Linked DNA regions of Mus musculus: all the other regions are reported to be linked to region 1. The links are microRNA targets in miRTarBase. Many come from high-throughput screens and were not tested one by one. Region 1 holds a microRNA gene; each other region holds the end of a gene's coding sequence.
Evidence for each region. The annotated mature microRNA mmu-miR-3966 reads AGCUGCCAGCUGUAGAACUGU and lies in region 1 at 3,648-3,668, opposite strand. An mRNA with a match to its seed (bases 2 to 7 or 8) in the 3' UTR can be bound and repressed. Matches are read on the target gene's strand: a 7mer-m8 pairs with bases 2 to 8, a 7mer-A1 pairs with bases 2 to 7 and ends in A, and an 8mer does both.

Region 1 (7,203 bases):
CAGGAAGTTGACTACTGTACCAACACTGTGCAGACTGATCAGAATCCATTCTTTTTGTAAACACAGAATTAATGTTTTGTTGAGAACTTGATATGCAGAATGTTTGTCAGACCACATGACATTGCTTTTGTTGCCAGAATGTCACTTTGCTGCCTCCTAACCTATTTCAGCCAAACTTCATTGAAATAGAAAAATACTTGGCTGAAGTATTTTTCTAAAGGTCAGGCTTTTCTGATGTTTATCTTGCTAGCTATCAGCATGATTCATTTACCCTTTGAGGATGATCATGAGAAAGAATTGGAGATTGTTTTGTTTTATGAATGAAAATGAATCTGAAGTGAAATTAGAAGGCAAACTTGTTTTTTCCTCCTTTCATTCTACAAGAAAAGCCAGAGAGTAGAGAGATATCTGCTTACCTACTATATTGCATCTGAAGTATCTCTTCCATGAATTTGAATGTCACACACTGACATGCCCTAAAATGTTCTTTTATTAGTTTTTCTCAGCCATTAAGTGGTTACACAAATTCCTATTATTTTAAACAAATAGATCATACCAAAACAGGTCAAGACTGGATTTTTTTTTCATGTGTTGGAATTTGGTAATGTCTCACCTGGTATTAGTTGGAAATCTAAACTTTAAATTTAGCCATTCTTTTCATTTCATTTTTTTAATATTACTGGGAATGGAAGTCAAGGAGTTTCTCACACTAAGACTAGTGCTGAGCTAAGCCCCTTGCCGTCACTGCTCTCTATTAGAACTACAATAGCCATGTGCAAAACACAATCCCAGAGGCTGCCATCACTTCCAAATTTATAGACTGTGACATGGAAGGGTGAGAAACAATGCATTTCTCTCCTTAGTTGCTTTTTGTCAGTGTTTAATCACTGTACCAGAACTGTAACTAAACCATCCTTACACACTTTTTCATACTAATCTTTCAACTCTTTAGAATACAACATACAAGTTTTATAGTTATATAAATCTTACCCTTCCCTCTCCAACTCCTTCCATTTCTCCCCCATCCCCTATCAAATTAATGGCCTCTTAATCTTTAACTCTTATTGCGTCACGTTTACAAATACAGCCTTGTGGGTTCATTAATGTTGTTCCTATATATGCATGTTGAGGGGTAACCATCTGGGATCAGGTGGATTATCAGGGATCTTTGCCTGATAAAAGACTGATTCTTCCTCTTGGCAGCCATTCATTCATCACATGGAGCTCTTCACCTGGAGGACTGGGCCCTTGTAATATTTTCCCAATCTATGTAAGCATGGGAACTAATGTTACTGTTGTGCAGGTGTTGCTAAGATGGCCATATTGTTGATATTTCTAGGATACAATTTGGCTGCCATACATAAAAGGTATAATGTCACAGCAAAGGACAATGCCCTCTGGCTCTTACAACATTTTTGTTCCTTGTTTCTGAAATGTTCCCTGGGACTAGGATTTTTTTTTATGGGTTTGTGTTTGTCAATCTCTCACCTAGTATTGGTGAGATTTGTGTTTTTGAACTATCAAGTAAGGTACAGCAACTGATGGCTAGTCAGTGTTTATATTTGACCAGTTGTTAATACCTGTAATGGCCTCCACCACTTGCAAAAAGAAACTTCTTTGATGATGGATGTGAGCTACACTTATAGGTGGGTATAAAAATATTAGGATACAAGTAGAAAACACCAGTTTTGGAAAGTGGAAATATTACATTCTCCTCCAGAGTCTATGACCTCACTGAATATATTGTCCAAATCAGAAATATTTCTTCAAATATCTGCCATCTTATTGCCGTGGAGGCTTTCAAGATCCTTTATCCTAACTTTTGTAAGTCATGGAACTTACTTTTGTCAGTTAACTATTACTGCAGGTAGTTGTGTGCTGTCACGTGGTGCAGGGAATCAAATCTGGGTCATAGGCAAGAGCAGCAGTGCTCTTTCTTGCTAATTCTTCTCCCTAGTACCATCGTTTGATTTTGTGCCTGATGAGATGTATTGTTTTTTGTCTTGCCGTAGAATCATTTATCTATGTCCCTGAATTCAATTTGCTTAGGAATTTTGGGTCTATACCATAACTGGTAGTGGCCTACATTCTCCTTCATTCCACTTTCTTTAATTTTGCTATTAGTATAATTCTATCATAAAATAAGTTTGTGTCTCTCCTTTTCTTTTTCTAAAACAGACTGCACAGGATTGCCATCTATTTTGTGAAGACTTGGCAGAGTTTTCCAATGGAACCATCCACATATAGAGTTGTTCTGCAAGCCTTTTACGCATTCAGATTTGTTTTTGCTTATGATACTAGCCACATGGTTTAATTCTATTTAGTTGAGATGTTATAGTCTATAACTCTGTATGAATTGATCTGTTGATAAACTATTTTCTTATACTGGCCTTTTCATAAGCACTATTTTTATGCTTTCAAGGGCTTTTTGTTTTCTGCTGTTTGGTTACATTGATTTTTATTTGCCTGTAACTATTTTACCATTTTCCTACTTTAAATTTACTTGACTCTTGGTTTTCTTTTCTTTTTTTTTTTTTAATTATATTGTTGACTTACCAATTTAAGACCTTTGTTTATTTCTTAGTATAAGCATATGTCTTGTGAGTTTTATCTTCAAAACTGTGTTGTGTGCACTCCAGTCCTCCAGATATTTTGACTTATTCAAATTTTATCCCTGTGTAAATTTGCGTACTCCACCTTTTCTGAAATTCTTCCTTGAGCCATTAGTACCTGGGAAGTTTGTTATTCAATCTTCCAGTGGACAGACTTGTTATTCTTTTCTCTCTTTTACTAAATTTAGTTGATTTCATTGGCATAATAGAGCATACTCTTATGCTCTTATGATGTAAACACTTACAAAGTTTTGAGATTTTTCTTTTCTTTTTTACCCTTACAAAGTTTGGTCCATGTTGGAAAATATTTTATAGATGCTGGAAAAATATAAATTTAATTTCTGTCAGCTAGAGTGTCCTATTAATAGCAATTTTGCCACCTTAATGGTTTATGATGATCAGGTTTTCTACACTATATTTGTGCTGTCTGTTTGAAACGCCTATAAATTTCTAAGAGAGGACTGTTGAATTCCCTAACTACAAGGGTAGTTCAACTATTTTATAGAAATGCAATATATATATGTGTGTGTGTGTGCTTGCATGTGCATGTCATTTTACAATATGCCTATAGCACATGAAAATTGCATAATGTTTCTTAGGACACAAACTTTCTTTTACCTTCTGTGCTAGATAAGTTTTACTGAAGCATGTAGTAACACAGTGACATGCAGAGGTATGAATAGAGCCTGGATTGTGTAACTTTCATAGTTTCTCAACTCACTGATTTTCCATACATAAACTTACTTTTGCTATTTTATTACCACTGCTTCTGTCAGATTAGACATGAAGAGGATCTTTAATTCCTTTGGATCTTTTCTGAACCAATGAGAAACAATTTAGGAAAAATTCTTCCTCATAGGGCTATATTATCTAATGAAGCACAGCTGATTTCTGTTGGCTAAGTAGTCTCAAAAAAAAAAAAAAAAGTTTTCTAATGTGTCCAAGATTCAATAATCGCTGAATCAGTACATCTTTATGTAAGAGAAAAATAAGAAAACTCTGCAGCAAGCATGATGAACACAGTTTTAATTAAAAACAGTTCTACAGCTGGCAGCTGTCTTTTCCTGTGTTTTTAAGTTCTTTTAAAAAAAATCTTCTCGATTCTTAAAAACAAATTCTACCTTTTCTTATGACATATATTTTGATTTTTTCTGATAGATATGAACAAGAATCATTTTTTAATTCATATTATCGCAAATATATCAGCTTTAGTTATATGTTAGAGTCAGCCAACAAAGGGGGTGTGTGGAATAAAAGCCTGCCCCCTACTCCCTAGAGTGTGAGCTCAGCTTTGGGAAGATAACAAAACACTTATGTAAGAGATTAGTTCCTGATGTTTATTCAGTTCAGTCCACAAAATGTGCTGTTTGCTTAAAATCAAAACCCAGGTTTGCTCTTTCAGTCGGTGTCTTATGCCTTTGTATGCATTGTGCCACAGTCTTACAAAAGGTCTCAAGCATAAATCCTAAATCCTATTAGAGGTTTCTAACTTCTATCTCATTGTGTCTGGCAATATCTTCTCTTTCATCCTAAATTATCGCTGCTATGGCAAGCCGATCTTCTTACAAAGAAGAAACTAATCAAAAAAATGCTCCCAGTCTTTTTAATTTCCAAAAAAAAAAAAAAAAAAAAAAAAAAAGGAGAGCACTAAGTTCGAAATTTTATAAACTGTGTTGTAATGTCTTCAAAACTCTGATAACATTGACAAACTACTTTGAAGGAGTTTTGTTATAAAGAAACAAATCCCCAGGGCCCAGAATTCTCTTATTGCCTCCTGTCTTTATTTTCACAAGGTTTCTGTTGGAGCCTCTGGGAACATCTGGGAGGGCTCTGATAACAGAATCTAGCTGTTCACAAGACAAAGCCATTTTAGTGCTGATTTTCTTCTGTGGGGAATCTTATGTTCTCATCATTTAATATCCATCCATATCAATACCATGCTCCAAACTTGTAAATGCATTTAGTAAACTTGTGTTCCATGCAGGCTTGCTTTCCACATCACTAATGGCAAATCTGATATAACAGTTTTCACTACACCACAGCTGACAGTTTGGGGAAGTATAAAGACAGGTAAGGGATACACCGTAGGATTATAGGCTACAAAGACAATTACTTTTGTTGTTTTTGCTGTTTGTTTATCTTGTTGTTTTCTGGGTCTTTTGTTTGGTTTTGGTTTGGTTTGGTTTTTGTTCGTTTGTTTGCTTTCTTGTTTATTTGATCCACTGCTAATTAACCTACAAAGTACCAGGTTTGATTCTGGCATTTTACCCTTATATGTAATTTAGTTGATCCACTTCTCCTTTAGGATCTCTCCATCACTGGGAAGAGAGGCCCCTTGGTTTTGCAAACTTTATATACCCCAGTACAGGGGAATGCCAGGGCCATGAAGTGGGAGTGCGTGGGTAGGGGAGCAGGGCAGGGGAAGGGAATAGGAAACTTTTGGGATAGCATTTGAAATGTATATAAAGAAAATATCTAATTAAAAAAAAAAAGATCTCCCTTAGCCTGCAGTCCTGCTTACACCCTCCCACTCCAAGAACGTCCTCTTCACCTTCATGTCTAATTGAGTCTATTGGCTCATTTACCTCACTCTCTTAAAACTATTTCCTACCCCCACCCCATGATTCTCTCTCAAGAACCCTACATAAATATATACTTATGGAACTTAGAGGCTAGAATCTAGACAAGGGTCATATTATAGGGAATATGTGGTATTTGTCCAAGTCTTTGTTATTTAGTGCTGTATTACAATAATACTTATCAAAGATCCACTCCTTTGATGAAGTTTCAGATGTATAAATATTATTCTTGACCATGGGCACAAGTATACCACATCTTGAGAACTTGGTGATCCATTCTAACTTACCGTTTATGATGATTGATTATTTACTTTTAATTTACCCTACCAATGCAGCTTAAAACTACAAATCCATTTGTTAGCCCTATATAATTGTCTAGTTTAGATTCTTCATGTTATTGCAATCATGAAATGCATGTTTCTTGTAAGTAGCTTATTGAGTTAATAGCTTGATAATTGTAGATATTGCTTATTTTCCAACTCTCCATGCATTTGTTTACAAAACTTTAGTTAAAAATCATACAAGTTGACATATCCCATCATTTCATAGATGTATTAGCTTGTCTTGTGTGTACTGCAAAGTTTTGACCAGAGCAACTTAAGTCAGAAGGGGTTCACTTTGTTTCATACCCAAGGCACAGTCATCAGTGTGGGAAAATCATGGCATCAGCTGGTCACAGTTCATCTGCAATAAGGAGACAGGTCTCAGCTCCCTTTTTAGTCTACCCTAGCTCGTGGGATAATGCTGAGTATAGTTAAAGTGGCCTTCCCACCACAATTAACCTATTCTACGTAATCTCTTACAGCCATGCGCATGGGGCTTGTTTTGGAGTAATTCTAGATAAAGTTGAAATCCCAAATTAAATATGAAAATAGGACAAGTTGCTTTAAAAAAAAACACTTCATTGGAAATAACTTTTCACAAATTGCATTGCTGAGGTTTGCATTTAGCTATAGATATAGATATAGTAAATATTTGGAGCTAAAACTATGTTCTTAATTATTATTGATACAACTATTTATTGGGACTGAGATTATTAAGTCCTTCTTAGCCAATTAAAGAATATATTATTTTTTAAAAATGAAGACATTTTGTACCTAAAGATTTATGACTTGTGTAAGTTAGTTGGGAATCTATCTGCCTCAACCAGCTATATAATTCCTGGGCTTATATGTAAAGAGTGCATAATCCAATCACATGGACACTTGTTCCACCATGTTCACTGATGCTCTACTCATAAGAGCCAGATTCTGTAAAACAAAACAAACAAAAAGTACATGTCACTCAACAGAAAAATAGATAAAGAAAATGGTATAGTTATACAATGGAGTTTTACTTGGCTGTTAAATAAATAACATCCTGAAATTTGTATACAAATGGATGGAACTAGAAAAAAAATTCATTCAAAGTGAGGTAATCCAGACCCAGTATGATAAATATGGCACATAATCACTATATGTGGGTATTAACCACTAAGTAAATTACAACCAAACTACAAACTATAGACCCAGAAAGGTCAGCTATAGAGGAAAGGACAAGGGAGGGGTCACATGTATCTCCCTAGGAGAGGGAAATGCAACAAATTGCATGAGTGTACCAGGGTTGGGGGGACAGGAATGGGAGGAGAGAGAAGGGAGATGCTGTTGAAGAAGGTAACACAGGAAGAGGTAGCTAGAATAAAGGCATATTTGATGGGTGGTATGGAAACTGAATGAGTGGAAACTTCCTAAAATATATGAAAGCAAGCCTAAGGTATTCTCCAAATAATGAGGGAGACAGACATTCGGCTAACTTGTTGTCTGGTGTCACCAAAAACCGGTTCTAGTACCTCGACCAGGTTACATCCAATTGAATTGTTGGCCAAAGGGGTCCCATGAAAATTCCCCAAAGGACCATGCCTGTTGTCAAGATATTTCCTCTCCACAAACTATTATCCCATTTCATCTGTACTATTCATTTATAAATAATTCATTTATAATAAATCAGCATTTTTACATTTACGCTATTAATTA
Region 2 (7,203 bases), not on the chromosome of region 1:
AAGAGCACTGACTGCTCTTCTGAGTTCAAATCCCATATGGTGGATCACAACCCTCCGTAACGAGATCGGACGCCCTCTTCTGGAGTGTCTGAAGACAGCTACAGTGTACTTACATATAATAAATAAATCTTAAAAAAAAAAAAAGTCTCAGTCCTGGGTGATGGAGGCAGGAAGATTATATCAAGACCTTGTCTCAGAACAAAATGAAAAAAGTGATTAATACATAAAAAAGTGTGTTTCAAGTTCAACAGTGCAATTCAAGTTATCTCAATTTCTCTTTGCTCCTGTCTTGAGTTTTTGTTGTTTTTAAGCTTTATTATGAGTGTTTGCCTGCATGTATGTACACACACATATACTACGTGCATGCCAGGTTTCTGAGAAGATCAGAAGATGGCAGCAAATGTCTGGAACTGGAGTTATAGATGGTTGTAAGCCACCAAGTAAATACTAGGAACCAAAGCTAGGTCCTCTGAAGGAGCAGTGGGTTCTTAACTGCTGAGCCATCCTTCCTACTATGTAGTGCTGGATGGCCCAGAATTAGCCATGTAGCCCAGGCTAGCTTGGAACTCACCTAGCTACTTTGCTGCTTGTGGTATCCCAACGTGAAGTTCTCACTGTGCGTTCATTCAATAACCTGTAGGTAGTGTGAAGAGAACACATGAGGAAGATGACGACTTTGGAAACATGCAAGTGGCAACCGCACAGAACGGCTGACCTGTGAGGACTGTTACATGGGTGTGAGCTTCCATCTGGAAAGGAGAGGATCCTAGTGATGATAATGTGAAATGGTAAACTCACAAATACTTTCTTTTCAATTATACATTGCTTCCAGACATGTTTCTCTGCAACACTTTAAGATGTTGGACTTATGCAGTAGATGGCACTGATGGGTGATGGGTTTACTTAAAAAAAAGAGAAAAAAAGAAACAAAAAAACCTTTATGGTTTTATTATAAACCAAGAATTTTGGACTTGCAAAGAGGTATTATTGCAATAATGCACTTTTCATACTTGAAATTTATTTGTATGATATAAAGTTATTACTTTAAACAAAATACAAGTTAGGGGGATTTGTTTATAGATTTTGGATAATTTATAACAAAAAAATTTCCTAATGTTTCCTAAAAACTCATTTTGTGTTATATATATTACATTTAAGGTAATTTTACAGTTCAATTTTATGATGAAGCCTCTTACAAAAACATTAACAAAATGTAGAACTTGTCCACATTTTTTAGTATAATTCAGTAACTTGATTACCATTTTTTTAAACTTCTTGGTCCCGTATCTTTAAATCATGACTTTAGCCAACTAGCCTACTTTACAATTTAATACAGTTAATACTTCCTTTCTAATTGCCTCCCTTATTCTAAATGAGAAAAGTTGAAATGATTAAAGAAAGAGGTCTTACTTTCTAAAACCAGATACTCCAAAAAATAAGGATAGTGTTATATTTTCCACATGACTTTTTTCTCTTTGCTGTTTAAGCCAAATGTAGACTTGGTCTTTTCAGAGTTGCTGAGCTCTTCTAACTTTTGTCCAAAATGGTTCAAAGTAGACCAAACCAATGTAGCACTGTTTCTTCAATATGAAACCCCCAAAAGAAAAGTGCCTTGCATCAACAAACAAGCAAATCCTCATGACTTCTAAATTAGTATATAAAGCAGTGAACAGCTATTAACGTTTTTCTGTAATTTCTTGTTTTAAAATCATAAATTAAATCTGATGCTTGAAGAAAGTAAATTATTTGGAATGAGACACTTCCTTCTATTTTCTGTTAATTATTTCTCTGAGGTTCAGCTGACAGCTTTGCTTTGAAGATGTATCCATTGGGGAAAGCAATTTGTGGGTGGCTTCAGTGTATTGTAGATTACTGTTTTAACTTGTTCCTAAATTAATTCAAATTTGTACCATAATTTGCATTAGCAAAATCATTTTATGGCTCTTTAGTTTTCCATGTTTTTATCTATATGTATAAAAGTTGTTCTACAAAAAACATTTTACTACTGTAAATGTGATGTGCAGAAGAGAGAAGTGTTTTTAACTTTTGTACATGATGACTTTAGGGTAGCACAAACACAGCTCCTTTATATATATATAGCTCACGTGTCTCAGCCCTCTTTCGAGGTGCTTTACGGTTGGGAATGATGCCCGCACACTCCCAGGGTACCATGAGGCACTGTGTAAGGTAACAGGTTGCACTTAAGTTCCTTGCTTTGCTCACCACCCTATGACATCAACAGTATAGAAAGGTTCTTTGTCCTTCACAGTAGGAGCCTGAATATAAACCAGAATTACTGTTACCTTGATTTCTAGCCTCTTCTGGTTTCCCATCCCATCTCCTATCTTTCAGCTCTGAAAAAAAGCATTGCTTTTAATTCTGTTGTGTCACAGGCATGGTGGTCTAGCAGAGCCAAGATTACATTGGGTATTCAAAAATCCCTGTATACATACAGGCCAACAAAGATCTCTCTTGGAGTCAACCCATAATCCATGGCTCACTGAACAGAAATTGTGATTAAAGCAATCTCTATTTTAAAAAAATTGGATTTTCAAGATGAGACATGTGAAGTAACTTTTTAAAATAAGTTTTATAAAAATACATGTTCCTCTTTAAATAGGAGTCTGTCCAAAAACAGAGGTTATTGACATTCATTTGTAGCTGGTAATTTTCCATTTTTCTATCCACTGTCATTTTTTTCTTCTCACATAAAGTGCCTATCCAGCACGATATACTGGAGACAGTCTCAGACACTAGGGACTGCCACCATGTTGAGCACAGTTGATGTGGACAGATGAAGTTTGTCCTTTCATAAGAAGCCTCCAAGTTTCTTTTCTTCCTCTGTATTTACTGTCAGTAGCTGTCTTAGGTTCCATTTCTAGTGATGTTTTGTAAGTTAACTATGATAAATTTATCCAATCATGATTTATTCTCTAGACAACTTGAATAATGTATGAATGTCCACCCAGTTTCAGTATTAAATATGAAAGCTGGGTTCATAATTAAAACTATACATTTTCTTATCAAAACTTAGGGAACTTCATTACTCCCCATTTGAAAGTTTGAGACAGCTCCTGGAAACTGGAGTGGAGAAGGGAGTCTTCTCCTAGTTTAACTGATTCATGCTAGTTTCTTGTCTATTAGATGTTATACCAACTCTATAGTAGGAATGTTCAAGTGTGATAACTTTGCTACCAACTTTCAACCGCTTGTAGAACAGAATATTCATTTGAAGGGGTGTAGGGCTGTACTTAATCTACTTAATCTGAGTCTAGAAGTAATGTCAGAAAATGCTAAGCATGTCCTTTGTAATAAAACATAAGGTTCTTAATTGTTTAACTGCTATGGAATTCACATGAATTAGAAGTATTTAAGTGCAATCTTGAATTATGAAGTTGGATGTATATATTAGGATGTCAACTTGATGTAAAGTAAATGAGCAGTTACCTGATGGATCTTTTTAAATAACCGGTTTAATTCACAATCCTAAAGCATAACTTCACGTCAGTATTTACAGTATCTTTGTCCATTCAACAACACTCCAATGAGCAAATAGTAGGAAATAGCTGAGAATTACTCAAGGATTTTGTTTATTTATTTTTATTAGGAAAATAAGTTTCTAGAGTCTTGAGTGCTGGATAATTCTTTTGTCTTTCCCATCCATGGCAGCTAAAAAAAAAATCACTCAAAATATTCAGGTTTACATGTTCTGCTCTCTTACAGGGAGCTACCATACCTCACAGTTCAAAGTGTTTTCTCAATCAGTAACATGATACTGACATGTAATTGCAATTTACTATGCAGCAAAAATGACTCAAGAACAGTAACATATGTGTCTCTTTACCTCTGTATAGGCAATTGCTTACGTTATTCTACTTTTAACATTTGTACTCAGATAAAATGCTTATGTATGTATAGGAATGTCACAGTGCAAGATGCTGCTAGCCTGGGCACAAAGTATTAAAATTATTTTGTGAAGACTGGTGGTTGTATTAAAACTCTTGTGCCATTGTACTTGCAATGATTGAGAAGCTCATTCATATTCCTTATGCCTCAAGACCTCTTTGTCTTCTGGGTAGAAGTAACCCAGCTTTACTCCCACAGATTAAGGTGAGTAAAAATTTAATAATATTAAAACGGTTTCAGTTGGTGACATGCTACAACTGTTTCTGTAAGACGATTTAAGAGAAAACACAACTCCATGGGTTTTATTGAAATACTAACATCACAGACTGTCTTACCAAAGAGTTTAATGTTAAAAAATAAAGTGCTAAATTTTACTTTGGGGAAAAGGCTTTTTTTAACATAGATAAAACCTAATGAAGCTGTGTCATGGTTACAGAACTAAAGAACTCTGAAAATCAAAGACAAACCTAATGACTGCAGGAAAATCCAAAGTCCAATTGAAGTACAAAGATACTTAAACCTAGGGTATTAAGAGCCAGGTCTTAACCTAATAGACTGAAGCTGATCATGGTGGTACATGCCTGGAATACCAGTTCTTAGAACATGTGTGAGGGGTTCCAGGATATCCTGGGCACCCTGTCTCAACAAAAAAGAAAAACACAAGACAAGATTCTAACATGAAAGACTATTCATATAAACAAGTTTAATGTAATAACATGGAATGCAAAAGATTAGAACCACTATTAATAAAGTATCTGATTCTATTTTAAAAATCATTTAAATAAAACAGAAAGGACAGGGATCAGAATAATAGTACCATTATAATCACATTAAATAGAAAAGCTACCATCATTTTAAAGCTATACTAAATTTAGGAAGTACTGAACATTTTTTTGTGACTCAAAGGCTTCAAATGTCAATGGTACGGAAACCAGGGTAGCAGCTCTGGGAGCTGCTCATTGACAAATGAAAAGGACCCTGGATAATTCTAATACCATGTGACAGGTGGCAGGTGGTACAGTATCTGCACAAAACTTTACACTTAGTAAATCGTTATTTAAGCTGTTGTACCTTGTCCCATTTTTCTTTTGTTGCTTTAAAAAGACTGCAGGGTTAGGATCAACAACAAATATGTATCTGGTGGTCATGATAACAGAAGTGTCCAATGAGAAATGGTGCACCTTAAGTCTATTTAGATGTATGAGACAAAAATAATTTTATGGTAAGAAACACCCTTATTCAATATATATGTATATACATATATTTAAAAATGAGCAGCATAGAGCAGACATGTTTACTACCCATACACTTGACTACCAAGAAATGAAGACAAACTTTAGAAAAATACAATGCAAGAAAAGATTCAAGTTGAAAATATATTCCTTTGGTTAAAAATCCTCCCCTTTATTTGTATTCCCAGCATCCTCCCAGGTTACTACACACTGGCACACCACAGTGTACTTCAGTCTAGTAGTTAGGGAGCTCACTGGGCTGCAGCAACAAAAATGAACTCTAAAACAGTTATTTAAGCTTTGTAGCATTAACCTCTTGATGGTGGTTTTTACTTTAGGAACCTCCGACACATGTAATTTTCTTCAGATACTGTATAGTCAAACTTTTTGTAGAAACCAACATTTTGTGGTAGACATTCAAGGGTGATCTTGTAACAGTTCAATTTCTTGCTTAGCAAAGTAAGAGTTGATAATAACCTGAAAAAAAGGATAAGAAGACAGCATTAACCAAAATGGGCCTTGATAATGACACAGATTAGTGTTACATAAAAATAATAGTATTGATTCAGTATATATAAGCTTAGATCGTGGTCTTTCCAATAATACTAACCCCACCCCCACCCTACCCCCACCCGAGACAGGGTTTCTGTCCTCGAACTCACTCTGTAGACCAGGCTGTCCTCAAACTCAGAAATCCACCTGCCTCTGCCTCCCGAGTGCTGGGATTAAAGACGTGCGCCACCACTGCCCAGACCAATAATACTCCTTTAAGTGTTCAGATTATTAAGTTGATAAACATTTAAGTCGCTGAAGCATTTTTATTCTGTTTCAAACACGTTAGCCTCCAGACTGTTAATAAATAACTCACCCTCTTTTATTATGGGCGGAGGGACACACCAGCAGCACAAGGGTGAAGGTTGTTTCCTGTAGTTCTCTCCTTTCTGCTTTCTTGGGATCAAACTGAAGATTACTCCCAAGTGTGGCAACTCTCACCCCCTTGCTAACCATATGAGAGGCTGGAGTGCTAGGCTGCTTGCCAAACCTGTGTGAAGCTCTAGCTTCAGTCCCAATGCTGGGGTTAGGGGAACCAAACACAGCAAAACAAACAGAAAGACACTAAAATGCATCAGGTTTTAAAAAACATAGCCCATGTTATTTTTTTGTGAAAGGTCTCTAGCTAGCTTTGGTGACACAGACCAAACAGGAAGCTCTGGAATTAAAGGTCGTCTTCCACCACAAAGCAACAGGAGACCTTAACTCAAAAAAGAAACCCCAAAATATCTTTGTTCCAGGTTGGGGGGTGTAGCTCAGTGATATTGTAAGGTTGCAGGGTGGGGGTACCTTTATGTTTTCTCCAACTGAAAGCATTTGCCAGGTTCACATAAAATGAGTATGAAATAGCTATGTTCTTGAGACAGTCTCATTGGCTGGCCTGGAACTGGCTATGCATTAACCCGCAGATCTGCCTGCCCCTGCCTGTTGAGAGCTGTCTTCAATCATTTTATAAAAGCTACTTTTTAAAGGAAATATGGATCAGATTAACTCAAGATTAGTCTGAATCGATTTAATTTCAGTACTAGGAAAAAGAGAGATCTCAGAGTTTGAGGCCAGCATGGTCTACAGAGTGAGTGTTCAGCCAGGGATGTACAGAGAAACCCTGTCTGAAAAAAAGCAAACTGTGCTAACTGAAGGGTCTTCTGTTGTGTGTATATTTAGACGCGATCTTGTCATATAGTCCAGGCTGGTCTTGAGCTTGAGGTGACTGTCCTGCCAATTTTATAGTTAGGCACATCCTTTGTCATTCTTGAAAAACAACGTTCATGTTCTAATGTTTTAGACATGACTAGTTGCCTGGATTAGAATAGTAGAAACTGGTGCAGTTCATACATCAAGGATCCCAATGCTTAGGGACTACATGATGCATACCCGATGCCTATTTATTGAGTAGACTCATTAAAACTCAGAGGTTATATCTAAATACAAGTTCTTCTACTCATAGCCTGGCAGTTCTCCTATGCAAATATTAAACATTGCCTTTGATTTGTATCTGACAAAGGAGCTGAAT
Region 3 (7,203 bases), not on the chromosome of region 1:
AGGAATTCATACTTTCTGTGTGCTAATTTCTTTTCTTTTTTCCCCTAAAGGTTATTAGCAAAAGATGGTGGATCGCCTGGCAAACAGTGAGGCGAATACTAGACGCATAAGTATTGTGGAGAGCTGTTTTGGAGCCGCTGGTCAGCCCTTGACCATCCCTGGGCGAGTGCTTATTGGAGAAGGAGTGTTGACTAAGTTGTGCAGAAAGAAGCCTAAAGCAAGGCAGTTTTTCTTATTTAATGATATTCTAGTATACGGCAATATTGTTATCCAGAAGAAAAAATACAACAAACAGCATATTATTCCCTTGGAAAATGTCACCATTGATTCCATCAAAGATGAAGGGGAATTACGGAATGGATGGCTTATTAAGACACCGACTAAGTCGTTTGCAGTTTATGCTGCCACTGCCACGGAGAAGTCAGAGTGGATGAATCACATAAATAAGTGTGTCACTGATTTACTCTCCAAAAGTGGGAAGACGCCCAGCAACGAGCATGCTGCTGTCTGGGTTCCTGACTCTGAGGCCACCGTGTGTATGCGCTGTCAGAAAGCAAAATTCACACCAGTCAATCGGCGGCACCATTGCCGCAAATGTGGCTTTGTTGTTTGTGGTCCCTGCTCTGAAAAGCGATTTCTTCTTCCCAGCCAGTCTTCTAAGCCTGTGCGGATTTGTGACTTCTGCTATGACCTGCTTTCCACGGGGGACATGGCCGCGTGTCAGCCGACTAGATCAGACTCTTATAGTCAGTCGTTGAAGTCTCCTTTAAATGATGCATCTGATGACGACGACGATGATGATAGCAGTGACTAAGGATATGCTGTGAAGTATTTAATTGACTGCCTGAGAGTCAGCTTTGGGGGCGCTCTCAGTTTGCTTTAGCCATGACTGCCTGAGAAGTCTTAACCTCTGTGCCTCTCTGTATCCTATGGAAAGCAGCCCCATGCTTTCTGCTCCCCTCTGCACTCTCTCACAGGGACAAACTTGCAGATACATCCGATAGGGTCTTGGCTTTCTACTGTCCTTATTTCTAGATTATTTCCTTGTAAGTTGGAAAGAATGTTTATTTAACAGATCTTGTATTACATTTATTTCCCCCTGATGTGGAAAATCTAAAAGCACAGAATGATGGGAACAAGAGTATGATGTGCTTGGTATCTGGCTTTTCCCCAAGCAGTCGATGTCAAGGTTACGACACCAGTGACAGAGCATGGTTTGGAAATCCTTTATTCTCTTTTCTCAATACCAAGTGGTGCCTTACTGTGGCAGCAGTGTCACTGTCACTGAAATAAACGTAAGCCCTACCTTCTTTCTTGTTTGATTGATTTAGACACACTGGTGCTCTTACAGGTGGAGAATGAGTGTTTGATGGATATAGGTAAGCATATTTATTTGACAGCTATGAGGAACTAAATTTAGAGGTTTCTCCAATCTTATATGAATATTTTTCATAAAATAGTTGTGATTATATTTTTACATCTTTTATGCACCAAATTATAATGGTCACATATGTTTAGCCCGTTGCCACTGTTCGGGATTCGATTTGAAACTCATCACTAGTATAGAAGTGGCATATCCCACTAGCTTCTACTTTCCTGATATATTTTTACAAATAACTTTATTTGCTTTACATTATTTCTAAAAGGAAAAATCTGAGGAAACCCTTATATTTTCCAACAGGGTTCCTCTGTGTAGCTTTGCTTATCCTGGAACTCGATTTGTTGACCAGGCTGGCCTTGAATTCTCAAAAATCCATCTGCCTCTGCCTTTGCCTCCCCAGGCACCACTACCACCTGACAAAAATGAAAAGTCTTAAGAAAATCCTCCCAGGAGAACATGGAGTCTTAGAGATCTGGAAGAGATCGGAGTTTGACTAGGTTTCCTGTCTGCAAGTCAATTTTTTTTGTGAAATTATCTTGATTTACAACGTGGTATTGTATTTTACAGAGTTCATGAAGCCCCAAACAATTTTTATTTTTGTAAAACAATTGTATGTTTAATCTGTTTCTGAAATCATTTTGCAATATATGGAAATAGAGTAGCAGTTGATATTTCTAAATTGTGACCATTGTCCGAGATTGCTTTGAGAACTGGTAGTTATTCTCTTTATGTTTGGAGGCAGCCATTAGGCTGTAGGCCTGCTTACTGCATAGCACTGGACGTGCCAGGCACATTCTGGCCCCTGGCATGCTTAAGTAACTAGGTTTTCAAATGTGGGAAACCAAGCTGAAAGGTCTGTTTTGTTTTGTTGTTGTTTTGTTTTGGTTTGTTTTTTTTTTTTTTTCAGAGTTCTTTTCAAACCCAGTTTCCCTTTTTCAAACTTTAAAACCTGCATAATTCTGCAGATGTCCTAGGGTTTGAGTCAGTAACTTGTGAATGAAAGTCATTGGTATTTGGCTTTGTGGTTACAGTACTAATTTTACTTTGCTGCTCAGTTTTGAAAGTGTGTGAGCTACATAGGTCTCCCTGTAGGAAATGTGAAAAAAAGCACAATAGAACCAGGCTAGGGGCTTTGTTCCTGCTTTTTGTTTTGTTTGGTTTTACTATCAGATGGATGGATTTGTGTTTGTCTCAGAGCAGCATATACATGCAGTCAGTAAGCATGTTTGAAAGGACCATAAAAACCAGAGAAATGCTGATGGGAACTTGGAAGTTCAGAAACCAAGGGGAAATGTCCTGAGATAACATTTGCATTGTCGACCTCAGTTGACTGTTTTTACAATAAAAATATTTTGCAGCTTATTTCCTGTGTTTTTATATTGTAATTGAATATTTTCTTCCTTTTCTAACTAAGATATTATGCATAATTCCACCTTAGTATATATTAGATATGAATGCTTAGGATGTAGACACTAATGAAGAATAGTTTTTTGTTTTTAGATAGACCTATTTTGGCCTCAAACGGACTATGTAGCAAGTAGTAGCTCTAATTGCGAAGCTGAGAATTCCCTTGAACTGATCCTCGTGCCTCCACATCCAGAGGACTAGAATAGCAGGCTGGACTGACCCAGAGTACTGAGGTCCTTCGTTCTTCTAGGCAAGCACCCACCAGCTGAGCCACACTCCAGCCCTGTCCACTCTTTAGGAGGTGCTGATGCAGGATTGGCAGAATTGCTTTTTTTTTTTTTTTTTTTTTTTTTTTTTTTTTTTGACTTGGGAAACTCTGTTTATTGATCCTCAAACCCAATACAAAACTCTGCACAAGTTTTACAGGTCCTTGACCTTGAGGCAACACAGCTGTGCTTGCTAAAGTCGGCTTGCTTGTCTCTCTGGGCTCTGATTCTGCTTTCTGAGACACCAAGAGGATTTCTCCTGCTCTCCTCCTCTGCAGTCTCCAAGTTGGTGATCATCATCTGATTGTGGTGGAGGGTGGAGGAGAGGAGAGGCAGAAAGACCCAGAAGTTTCTCTGTAGGCTTAGAGAAGTGAGCCCCACAGCCAATCCAAAGCCGGATCTGGTCCAGGTTGAGGGCAACAAAGTTTTCTCCGTTACTTTTGGGCAGTGGATCATCGGAGCCCAATTGCTCCAGAAGTGGCCATTCCTGTAACACTTGTGAGCAACCACAATGTGGTAAAAAGGCTGATTGGTGCAGCCACCCGAAGCAAGGTGTATGCTTAGGTGGACTCTCTGATAGGCTTTGCAGAAAAGGCGGTGAGGTGAACCATGGTGCTTCTGCGAGCTGCTCTTAGGCTGTCCCCCTCTCGGTGACTCTTAACATCTTAATTTTCCAAGAGTAGAAAGAACAGGGAGATTGACTGGTATTACCCCCTTTGCTATCCAGTTAATTGTCCTAGTAAGTAAGCCACATTAAAATGATAGTTGAAAAGCTTTGGAGATACACGTTTTTATCAGGGGCAATAAAGAATTTACCACTTGCATTGTTTGTGCATGAGCCTGCGAGTTTGTATGGAGAAAATGTAATTGTGTGCCTTAACTTACAAATTTTAGCAGCTTTATTTGAAACATCCTCCATTTTATTTATCTACCTGCAGTCCACCTGTTTGAGATGTTCAGTTCAGTGATTCATGTTCATTCAAGCTATCACTGAGCTTTGGATAGCTTTATCCTGCCCGCCCAGGAGGCACTCCCTGACCCCCTGGCCTTGGGCACCCACTTTCTGTCTCTGTTTATCTTTGCTCTTTGGGGGCTGGGGTAGGGGATTTATAGTGAAATCATTCACTGTAGCCTCTGGGGACCCATTTAGTTCACTAAGATGTTCTCATGGTTCATTTGTTTAGCATTATTGAACACTTGACACTCTTAGTATCAAATAATTTTTTTCAGTTTAATTTATTTAAAGTTAATAAACTCCTTGCACTCTTTTGGGTCAGTGTGTGTGTGTGTGTGTGTGTGTGTGTGTGTGTGTGTGTCTCCAGTATCTCTTAACTGTCAAGTTGACATAAAACTAGCCAGCACAGTGAGCAAATCGTTTAAATATCTTCTAAAAGGGACTTATGTTTACGTCTGTGTGTATGCCATGTGTGTTTGGCTTCCCTTGGAGGCCAGCATAGAGGAATGGATCCCTTCAGGCTGATTAGCCTGATGTGGGCACTGGAAACGTAGCAAGTTCAGGGTATTAAAACTGGATACTATAGTGTTTTATTCTGGGACAGAAGCTTGGCTGGTTTCCCACTCAGCATCATGACTGAGGATTACATCCAGGCTCCCAAGCTCTGGAACCACATGAGGGCAGCATCAGGGTTAGTGATAAATATGTTATCTTTTCCCTAAGTATCCTATAATCAAAAACAATTTGCAAATATTTTCCTTTTTTTCACATTTCCCTTTATTTTTCTGAGACAAGTCTTGCTAATTTATGTAATTTATTCATGGCTGAGCTAGACTGGAATTTCTGATGGATTCTTGTGCCTCAGACTCCCAAATCCTGGGATTACAGGCAAGTACCACCATGGCCAGCTCTTTCCTGCCCTGGTTACCAAGACTTCCTCCTGTGTTTTCTACTGACTCCAGTTACTGATCCACAAAACAGTGCCCACAGTGCCTCCAGAAAGGACTAGGGGCTGTCGGGCTGTCTTCTAGTGAAATAGAAAACTCATTACACTTCATAAGGAATTTCCAGGTAAATAAAACACTGGTGAATTTCATGAGCTTTTCTCTTCCAGTCAGTGGGTAAATTACACTTCTGAATATGCAGTGGCTCAGAAGACAGAAATCGTCCGTCATCTAGGACGTGCTGAAGACAACGCCAGTGTTAGTGAGAGCTGCATGAATGTAATGTAAATGCCTTTTCTGCCCACTTACTACTAGAAAGGACTTAACTGCAGAGATTTTTCTAAAGACATACAGAGCATTAGCACCTATACTTTTAGAAATGTTTAGTGTCCCTAGTCACCAAGGAACAAAGCCACGATGAGCTCACATGGCTATTATCAAGATGAAGGTAGCATGTGTTGGTAAAGGTGTGGGGAAGGGAACTCTGGCATGCTGGGTAGGAATGTAAATTAGTATAGCCATTATAAAAGGACCACGAAAATAAGTAAGGGCTGAGGTGATGGCTGAGCAGCTAAGAGTGCTTGCTTGGGTTCCAGGTAACAGGGGTTAAATCTGGCAAATTAACAATTGCCTGTAACTCCAGATACTCCAGAGGTATCAATGCCCTTTCAGGTTTTACACTTACATACAAATGGCTCTCACAAGTGAGCAGGTGCACACACAATTTTAATACCCTGAACTTGCTACGTTCCCAGCGCCCACATCAGGCTAATCAGCCTGAAGGAATCCATTCCTCTATGCTGGCCTCCAAGGGCAGCCAAACACATGGCATACACACAGACAAGTCCCTTTTAGAAGACATTTAAACGATTTGCTCACTCTGCTGACTAGTTTTATGTCAACTTGACACAGTTAAGAGATACTAGAGCTGAGGCGTCTCCATTGAGAAACCCTCCATAAGATCTGGCTGCTGGCAAGCCTGGAGGGCTTTTTCTTAGTGACTGATGGGGGAGGGCCCAGTCCTTTGAAACCCTTGTGGGTGGAGCCACCCCTGGTAGAAGCAGGTTAAATATCCCTTTAAGAGCCAGCAAGATTTTGCTGAAAGGACCCTGATATAGCTGTCTCTTGTGAGGCTCTGCCAGTGCCTGACTAATACAGAAGTGGATGCTCACAGTTAGCTATTGGATGGAACACAGGGCCCCCAATGGAGGAGCTAGAGAAAGCACCCAAGGAGCTGAAGAGGTCTGCAATCCTATAGGTAGAACAACAATATGAACTAACCAGTACCCCCAGAGCTCGTGTCTCTAGCTGCATATGTAGCAGAAGATGGCCTAATTGGCCATCATTGGGAAGAGAGGCCCATTGGTATTGCAAACTTTATATGCCTCAGTACAGGGGAACACCAGGGCCAAGAAGTGGGAGTGAGTGGGTAGGGGGGCAGGTCAGGAGGAGGGTATAAGGAACTTTTTGGATAGCATTTGAAATGTAAATGAAGAAAGTATCTAATAAAAAATTGGAAAAAGAAAATAAAAGAGCAAGTCAGTAAGCAGCCTCCCTCCATGGCCTCTGCCCCAGTTCCTGCCCGGCTTGAGTTTCTGCTCTCACTGTTTTTGATAATGAACTGTTCTATGGAACTGTGCATGAAATAAACCCTTTCCTCCTCAGTTGCTTTTGGTCATGGTGCATCATCACAGCAGTGGTAACCCTAAGTATGTATGCAAACTGATCTTTCACGCCACATCTGTCTTCTCTCAACTCTGGCCTTACCCAGGAGATCCTTGGCCTCCTCGTGTAGAAGATCTCTTCACCTGATCTTGGATCTATAACTGGATATATAAGTGCTGCTCTCTTCAGGAGGCCCTCTCCGCATGCTCTTAGCTCTCACAACTCAAGGCAGGTTGCTCCCCCAGGGGGGCCTGTCCCCTCTCTGGGTTCTGCCTCCTGTCCCAGGCTGCCCTGCGCATTGCTCAGCCTGCGCAGGCTCTGTGCCCTGGGAAAGTCCTGTCGGCAGGTTCTTTCCTGGTTCGTCCCTTGCCTTGGCCCTCTTGCTGGACCCTAACAATGAAGTGTTCAGAAGGAAACCGGACGAGGAATGCCTTTCACAGTGTATACAAACTGTTCATTTTGAGAAAGAGAGAAAGAAAGAAAGAAAGAAAGAAAGAAAGAAAGAAAGAAAGAAAGAAAGAAAGGAAGGAAGGAAGGAAGGAAGGAAGGAAGGAAAGAAAGAGAAAGAAAGAAGAAGAGAGGGAA

Region 2: miRTarBase lists Styx as a target of mmu-miR-3966. Seed matches in the 3' UTR shown: 7mer-m8 at 3,664-3,670.
Region 3: miRTarBase lists Plekhf2 as a target of mmu-miR-3966. Seed matches in the 3' UTR shown: 8mer at 1,265-1,272.

What each region holds. Positions count from the first base shown.
Region 1 is chr10:97,419,958-97,427,160 of GRCm38, reverse strand. It overlaps Mir3966 (microRNA 3966), which reads right to left and starts at 3,683; the gene lies at 3,599-3,683. The region is part of intron 1 of Gm34114 (a long non-coding RNA gene); the gene reads left to right.
Region 2 is chr14:45,372,872-45,380,074 of GRCm38, forward strand. It overlaps Styx (serine/threonine/tyrosine interaction protein), which reads left to right. Exons shown (of 11, transcript NM_019637.3): 11 at 641-4,013. The coding sequence ends at 714. It overlaps Gnpnat1 (glucosamine-phosphate N-acetyltransferase 1), which reads right to left. Exons shown (of 6, transcript NM_019425.2): 6 at 3,550-5,615. The coding sequence ends at 5,468. Among named protein-coding and RNA genes, the nearest start is that of Gnpnat1, 12 kb to the right of the region's middle.
Region 3 is chr4:10,984,202-10,991,404 of GRCm38, reverse strand. Plekhf2 (pleckstrin homology domain containing, family F (with FYVE domain) member 2) reads left to right here. Exons shown (of 2, transcript NM_175175.4): 2 at 51-2,743. The coding sequence starts at 65. The coding sequence ends at 814. It also overlaps the pseudogene Gm2401. Among named protein-coding and RNA genes, the nearest start is that of Plekhf2, 20 kb to the left of the region's middle.